2 linked regions of the Coturnix japonica genome follow. The protein of the gene in region 2 purifies or fractionates together with the protein of the main gene of each other region. This does not show direct contact. Links are inferred from orthologs where the notes say so. Each region holds a gene or a part of one and is shown on either strand. Other genes may lie near its edges.

Region 1 (3,643 bases), on a different chromosome or scaffold from region 2:
GATGCTCGAATAAGAGCACTACCATCATACATGCCATTTGGCATTTTTGGAGCTTCCTGAAAAGAAAGAGTGGGGCAGGAAAGAAAACTGTTAGAATACATATGTACCTTGACATTAGTTCTTTCCTGTGTTCATCAGAAGCTGACTCGCTCGAGTTAACTGGATGCAATGCGTAGCACTGCTCATACAAAACAGCATTACCCCACGCATTTTCTCTGTTCATCTCCTAGATATCCTCTTCCTAATTCAGTCCCTACTCTGTCTCCACCATTCTGCATAGGTCACAAGATAACTCCAACTCAAAAAATAAAGATACTGGAAAAGGAGAGGACTTCCAGTTCACAAGATTAACACAAAGAAAAACAAAAATAGACAGAAGCATAAGAACAGAAAAGAGAATGTCTCCTAAACTTCACAGGGAGCTCAATGGCTCCCCAGTAGCAGCCAGCTGGGAATTCATCTACGTAAGAATAAGTCAGCAGCAGGACATACCATAGCAGCCACAGGAAAGAGGTAGGGGTGGTTACAGCACTTCTTCAGATCCATAACAACGTTGAGTAATGAAACTTGGTTACCACCACCACGTGCATTCAGTGCCTCAAAGTTCCGTGTCAAAATATATTTATAGTATTTCCTGAAAATAACAAAGAAAACAAAAACTCAAACACCTCTCACAGGAATAACTAACATACACTTGCTCATGTCTGAACGGTTCCTGGCATTACCTGTCAGCTACCTAGACTGCTCTGCCAGTGGCAGTTACTATTCTTTTCATCCCTCTATTACAGGATTACTCCTCCCCTCTGTGGGGACTCAAAATCTCCCTCCCATCCACTGTGCAGAAAGCCCTACAGTGAGGATGAGTCTACTTCAACACCCTCTTTGGAACTGCAGAACAAAACAGAAGTAGTTCAACAGCTGGTGATCACTCCAGCCTCACACTCACTTCTGCATAGGACTCAACTCCACTCTGACAATAAGCTCAGTCTTAGATGGCATGTTCTTGAAAACATCGGCTTTGAGGCGTCTCAGCATGTGTGGGCCCAGCATGTCGTGTAGCTTCTTGATCTGATCTTCCTTGGCAATATCTGCAAACTCTTCTAAGAAGCCCTCCAAGTTACTGTGGAGAAACAGACACTAAGCAAAAGCCACCACAAAAACCCAAACAAAACCAGGGGGATAGGAGTGACAAGACAGGCAAGTTTGGCCTGGATTTTCATTGCAAGGCTTACTGGAATCTCTCTGGTGTCAGGAAGTTGAGCAGGTGGAAGAGCTCTTCCAGGTTGTTCTGGAGCGGAGTCCCAGTAAGCAGCAGCTTATGCTGGAGGGAATAACCATTCAGCACACGGAAAAACTGTAAAGTAGAGAGCAGGGAAGGAATGAAAAAAAACCCAACATGAGCAAAGAAGTCATAGTCCTACTAAAAAATACCCTTAAAAAAAAAAAAAAAAAGCAAGCTACAGTTTGATTTAGATTCCCCATCAGCTATTTGGACAAGTGCTCCTAGTAGTTGCCATTCCAATCTGCATCACTAGACTGATCTCATTCGCATCACTGTTCTGCATAATTGAAACATGACTGTGACAGGTCCTATAAGTCACCAGGTACTAAAAGGTTCCTTTTTTTAAGTTACAAGCTTTCAAACCAATGATCATTTCCACATTGCTATACTATGTACTTTTCCTCCTAAATTAGCATTCTACATTTTTACTTCTCTGCCTCAAGACTTCTAGAAATAACTAAGTCACTCTTCCTATTCATATCAATTCTGGCAGCATTCCAGAGTTCTGAACAAGCAGAGGAGAGAGAGTCAAGGGTTTGCCAATATATCCTTAAAGTAATTTGTGCTAGCTCTCACAACAATGAAGTAATTCTAGACAAAGCCAGCGAGCAGTTATGGTACTGAACTGAAAAGCACAAGTATACAATGTTCACTAGCACAAAGTGACAATAAAGTAGTAATTTATTTATGGACTTATTTTTTATACTTAACACGACACAATGTCAAACTGAATGAGAGTAGCTTGTATGTAGGTTGCTCCAGAAGTAACGCCTCCTATTTATTTCCATGGAAACTACAACAGATACAAAGAGCACAACGGTATTATTTTACAGAGCAAGTTCTTAGCTTCCAAATGCTATTTTTTTTCCATGTTAGTCACCACCATTAGCTACGCATTTTCACCAGTGATGAACAAAAACCTGCACTCCACACTCATTTTGCCAGCAGTACGTGGCTGTCTAGAATGTGGCTTGTCTTCAACATCACTGTCACCAGCACTGAAACATGCTACCCTCTGCCTCACTGTGCTCACATCCACTGCTCAGCATTCAGCAAGCATCAGTGGATGTCAATGGGTGCCATTTTGTCCACGTGGAGGAATTCAGCAACACCTTTGCTTCAAATGCTCTTTCATGTCAGGTGCCATTTTGTCAGACTACTCCTTTGCTTCCATCTGCCGCACAGCAACAAAATCTATCAATACTGGTAGATGATTAAACCTCTACTGTCATATCATTAAGATCCACATTTAATGTCATGGGCCAACATAATAAAATAGGAGGCATTACTTTTGGAGCAGCTCTCGTACTAGGTGACAAATATTAGAAGAAATATACTACCACTTATTTTGGTTTATCATACCAGAAGGATTTCTTCTAGTGCCTTCCATTAGAATTGTTCTATGTAGTTATAGCCAACAACATTCTTATCTTGGAATAAAATATGGGAATTACTCACTGTAACTGCAAAAAACACTATTTGGCAGATAACCAACACTGCCAAGAGCTGTCTTGCATACAAATACCTAAAGCTGTCCTTAAGGGATAAAAAACTCCTCTAGAAAAAGGTAAATTTAACTGTCTTGGTGGATAACCATTGTTTCTTAGCCATAGTGTAGCACCGAGCCTTTATATCCTCTTTTAGTTCATGAAAATGAGTATGAACAGTAAGCATTTGGTACTGCTCCCAGTAATTCCAATTCTAAGCACAGAACAGCACCTAATCTCAGTGCCTACAGTAAAAATATCTCAAAACTGGACTGCAAGCACAGCTGATAAGAGATATCACAAGATACCACACTCAGATCTGAAGAGCTAAAGCTAAATTTTCTCCTTCCCGTTCCCCTCTCATCCCCTACACAGAGGCAACTTAGTCTTACAATCTGCAAGAAACTAAAAAAAACAGATTTTCATTAGCAGCTGCTTTTAGCGTACTAAGCCCTAGAACGTAGCTGAAGACAGACAATCAATACAGATTTAAAACACAAGAGCTTAGGGAGGAGTTGGATTAAGAAAGTACAGTCAATTCTACTGAATTAAAACAAGCCTGGTAAAGGTGCAGCCTCATATGAAAACAGCTGTATGGCTTTCAGCATTTACCCAGGCATTGTTCAACACTCCTGCCCACTTCTCCCATTTCTGTAACATCTAATTAGCTGTGTTACAGAGCTAGAAGAATGCAGAAGGCAAGATTCCTCTGGAAGCAGAATAACTGCAACCCATGCAGCTTTCTCTATACTCAATATGATTAGCCCTTTCAGAACAGAGGTGATCTAGATGTGTCCTACTTCCAGAGAAGCCCATTTCCGAGAATGGCAACACCCAGGTTTTTCTGTTTTCTAGTATACATCAATTGCCTGTT
Region 2 (4,435 bases):
CAGTTAATGGGTCTGACCTTCTTTAGCTAGCTGCCAATTTCACGTTTAATGAACTTAAAGCCACAGAGAATCAAAAAATAGATTTTAATTTGGCTGCATGATATTGGAACTGATTTTGATAAAGTGCAAAAATCGTGTGAACTCAGGTCAAATTTATTTCAGCCCTGCCTAGGCTGAATACTGGGGAGGAAGATCTAGAGTAGCTCCCAGTTGTGCTGCATGAAATCATATAGAGAGAGCAGGCAGCCACCCGTACCTCGGCTCCAAGTAGGGCACGGGGATGCAGCCCAGCAGCTCTTGCCTCTGGTACCACTTCTCATTTAACAGAAGGTCAACCACGGGAGGATGAAGGTTACATTCAGAGTGACAAAAGCAATGTCTCAATCACCTGCTTTCCCTCCCCACGCGGAGAGCAAGCGGCTGCATTCCTGGCACCCGAGGGCAGCGGGATGGGCTGCAGGATTGCTGAATGCCATTTTTCTCCCCAGCCATCCCCTGTCTTTGGACAGAGGGAGCAAAGCAGCACAGGGCTAATTCCTCCCGGAGCTCGCTGAGCAGAGCAGAGACAAAGGTATTGCGGCTGAGCTGTAAATCCAACTTCTACCTCACCAAAAGTGCACAGCGGAACACACAAAATAAACAGCGTTCCCTCTGCAGCTCACTCAGCGAGGAACTCTGCAGCCATTCCTCAATTACAAGGTTTTCCCTCGGCCTGATTTATTTCTGAAGCCTCAGTGTTATTTAGCAGGGGAAGGAAACGTTGTGCTGAGACACCAGACAGTTAAAAGTAGTGCTAAACAACAATAGACTTTGCTAAAGTCTTCTCTGCCGGGGCTGATTTACAATCAAACCCAGGAAATGAAGTGGTAATTCAGAGGTTGCTGATTACACCTCCACATTTCACCTAATTAATTTTATAGGAGGCAAAGTTCTTGAAAATAACAAGATGATCAAATGTACAGATATAAAACCCGTAACCTCAACATTTTCTATGCTCTTAATGTAAATTATTGCTAATTAACGAGAATTATATAGTAATGTATGAAATACGGCTGGCACCGCACTCCTCACACAACACTGGGCAGAGCCAGCAGAACACGGCCGTGTTCTTAGTACTCTCTCAGAAAAAAAAAGGAGGAAAAAAAACCCAACAAACAACAAAACAGGTCTCCAAAGAAAGCCCGAATCCACAATTCACCTGGTATACCCCGAGCTGCCGGGTTCGTCCTTTAGTTTTTGTGCACGCTGAATTCCCTGCCTAGGCACCTAATCACTCGTCCCTGTTTTTAATGCAAATTGCTCTGCCATGGACATGTCTCTCCGCTCCTCCTCGCCCTCCTGCTCCCTCCTTCTTCCCCGTCCCCAGGCACCGCGATCTCCCCCCGCCGGCTGCGGGGACCCGCGCTGATTTTCGCCTGCCCGAGAAAGGCGAGAAGGGGAGCGGCGCGCAGACGGACCGAGGCCGGTTCGGCTCGGCCCGGCTCAGGAGCGTAAAAAGGAGAGCTTCAGGGCTGTGGGGGGGGAAAGGTGGTTGCCTCGTGCCAACTTTGCTCCAAGTGCGGCCGGAGCTCGTGGCCCGAAGCTGGGGGCGAAGCGCGGCGGCACCGGGGGGCCCGGGGGAAGGGAGCCGAGCGGGGCCAAACTCCGAGCAAAAGTTGCCACCCACCCCCACCAAAAATAAGAACGATTTGAAATAAAAATGAGTCCGGCCGGCCGGGGGGGCGCGGGGGGCTGCGGGGAGTTCTGGCCGGGGGCAGCTGCGGCGGGCGCGCTGCCGGCAGCGGCCGAAAAGAAGAACAAAGGCGAGGGGAGAGGGGCCGGCAGGGAAACGAGAGGAAGGGAAGGGGCCGGCGGCGCGCCCTCCCTCCCCCCCAGCCTGGGCCGCGCTGCGGGCGCAAAGGACCGGCCAGGTTCAAGTCCGCTGCCGGCGGGGTTTTTGATGTCGGTGTGCCTCCTAGCGACCGCCCGGCACATCCCGCCCGCCGCATCCCGCCCGCCCGGCTCCCGGGTCCCGCTCCTCCGGTCCCGCTCCCGCCCCAGGCCCGGCCCCGGGGCCGCACACGTGAGGAAACACCGCGGCCGCCCCGCACCGCGCCCGGCTACGCGACCCTCCGTCGCCCGGGCCGAGCTGAACGGGGCGGCCCCTCCGGGACGGCGCTGCGGGTCGGCCGGCGTCGCGGCCCCCGCCTCGAGAGAGGCGTCCCCAGGAGCCAGAGCCGAGCGGCGGCGTAGTGCAGAGGGAACGCGTGCGGGAACGTGCGGAGAGCGGTGGGAGGGAGCGAGGGAGGGAAGGAAAGAAGGCTCGGAAAGTTGTGCAAAGCGTGAGCGGGGAATGAACGCATCGCGCCGGGTCCTGAGCCGACCCTGGGAGGGAGCAGCACTCTCTGAGGATAATGGGGAAAAGAGATGGGAAGAAATGAAAGAAAAAAAAATACCAAAAAAAAAACAAAACAAAGAAAAAAAACAAAAACCGAAAAAAAACCAAGCACCTACGAGTAGCGTTTATCGTTTCCCCTTCTGCCCGCTCACCCGAGAAAAAGGGGATTTTCTGTCCCTTCCTCCCCCTCGCCCCGCATCTCTCTGCAGCCCGAGGTGCCCTTTGTTGTACGCTGAGCTGTCCGCTCACCGTGTCCCGCCCGGAGCGCGGTGCCGCTACCGGAGAGCGGCGGTTCCGCGGCGAGCGGCGCTCCGGGACCGGGCTGCGGCTTCTCTCTCCCGGGGAGATCGCGTTGGGTTTGGGGCTTAAACGCGGGCGCGGGGCTCGAGGCTGTGCGAGAGTGCGAGAGCGAGTGCGTGTGTGCTGTGCGCTCAGCCCGGGCTCGCTCTTGTCTGTGTTTGTTGGCAGGAGGCTTCCCGCACACGCGGCGCTTGTAAACATTCAGACACGAGATTTTTCCCAATCAAAATCCACTTCCACTTTTTTTTGAAAATCTTCCAAAAAATAGTAACTGAGCGATGCAGACGAGCCGAGGGCGAGGAGGGAATCCCTCTCGGCGCGCCACGGCCGCCCGCCCGGGGCCGCCCCCCGCCCCAGCCGGAGCCGGAGCCGGAGCCGGGGCCGGGGACGCGGAGGGGGGAAGGTGGGGCGGCGGGGCCCCCGGGGCGGTCGGAGCCGGTCCGGCCCGCATCCCCGCCACGGAAACAAAAGGCGGCCGGGCCCGAGCCGCCCGCACGCCCGAGCCCCCCGGCCCCGCGGAGGGTGCGAAGACGCGAGCGGCGGGGAGCGGCGGGCTGCGCTCGCAGGACTTTTCTCACCGCGCCGCTCTCGCCCGGCTCCCACCCGGCTCCCACCCGGCTCCCACCCGGCTCCCACCGCCTTCCCGGCCGCGCTGCCCCGGGCTGCCGCTGCCCGCCCGCGCGGGGCGCTCTGCGGAGCGGGGCCGGGGCGCGGAGCGGCGGGACGAGGCGGGATGAGCGGAGCGTGATCGCGGGGCGCCGGGAGTTGGCGGTGCTCCGCTCGCTCTCGCTTCCTCTCACTTTTCTTTCTTTTCTTCCCGCTCTCGCTCGAAAGGAAAATTAAATCCGCCACGGGGGGAATCGCGGGAGTCGCTCCGCGGTTTTACTTACGCGAAAATTCCCGCTTGCTTAAGTGCTGGGGCTTGCCCTGCTTGCGGCGCGACATGGTGGGCTGGCGGCGGCGGAGCGCGCGGCTCACATCGGGAGCGCCGGGCTGCGGAGGAAGGAGGCTCCCGAGAAAATATCTTCATCAATGTCTTTTGACATCCAAAATAAATTAGAAATAATACAAAGATGGCGCAGGGAAGATGAATTGTGGGATAGCAGTCATGGCTTTTTTTTTTTTTTTTTTTTTTTTTTTTGTGCGAGGGGAAAAAAAAAAAGAGAGGGAGAGAGAGAGAGGGAGAGAGAGGGAAAGAGGGAAGGAGAGAGAGAGCGAGATGAAAAAAATGGCAAAAGCCCCCCTGAGCCGCAAGTTCAAGTGCGGACGTGACGTCCCCGCGAACTTGAACGTCAGGAGCCTGGATGGACAGAGACATACAAAACATGGGCAGGGCGAGCCGGGGAGAGGGGAGGAGGGAAGGCGAAGGCAACACCAATGGACACTCATCGGGGGCTGGACATGAAAAAGAGAGCAGGACAAGCCAATGGCCGAGGACCGCGGGGGGGAGCGGGGAGGGGGCGCGCCGGGCGCACGCCGCCGGAGGGCCCCGGGGCCAGGGCGGAGGGGGCCGGCCGGGCGCGAGTGGCCGCGGGGCGAGGGAGGAGGGGGCGGGGGGAGCGGTACCCGAGCCCGGGAGAAGGACGGGAGGAAGGGGAAAGGGGAATGAAAGAGGGAGAAAGAAAGAAGGTAGCGGCAGCGCGCACACTCTCACACCCCCGCTGGAAAAGTAAATACATCGCTGAAGCCAGAGGCGCGGGGGGGGGGGGGGGGGGGGGGGAGCGACGGGGGACGCCGGGCAGGCTGCCCTCGGGAGGG

The links. Proteins that work in one complex are often made in the same cells at the same time.
Region 1: the proteins of BCL11A (region 2) and CHD4 purify together in Homo sapiens (affinity purification with mass spectrometry; 5 studies listed by BioGRID, with this or other methods). This does not show direct contact. The link is inferred for Coturnix japonica from reciprocal best matches to the Homo sapiens genes BCL11A and CHD4.

What each region holds. Positions count from the first base shown.
Region 1 is NC_029516.1:69,341,435-69,345,077, forward strand, and holds part of CHD4 (chromodomain-helicase-DNA-binding protein 4), read right to left. Parts: intron 1,355-3,643; coding exon 1,233-1,354; intron 1,121-1,232; coding exon 947-1,120; intron 635-946; coding exon 493-634; intron 57-492; coding exon 1-56. UniProt on the Homo sapiens protein: ATP-dependent chromatin-remodeling factor that binds and distorts nucleosomal DNA. Acts as a component of the histone deacetylase NuRD complex which participates in the remodeling of chromatin.
Region 2 is NC_029518.1:5,614,213-5,618,647, reverse strand, and holds the start of BCL11A (B-cell lymphoma/leukemia 11A), read right to left. Parts: upstream 2,894-4,435; 5' UTR 2,879-2,893; coding exon 2,530-2,878; intron 1,503-2,529; exon of another isoform or gene 1,199-1,502; intron 1-1,198. UniProt on the Homo sapiens protein: Transcription factor. Associated with the BAF SWI/SNF chromatin remodeling complex. Binds to the 5'-TGACCA-3' sequence motif in regulatory regions of target genes, including a distal promoter of the HBG1 hemoglobin subunit gamma-1 gene.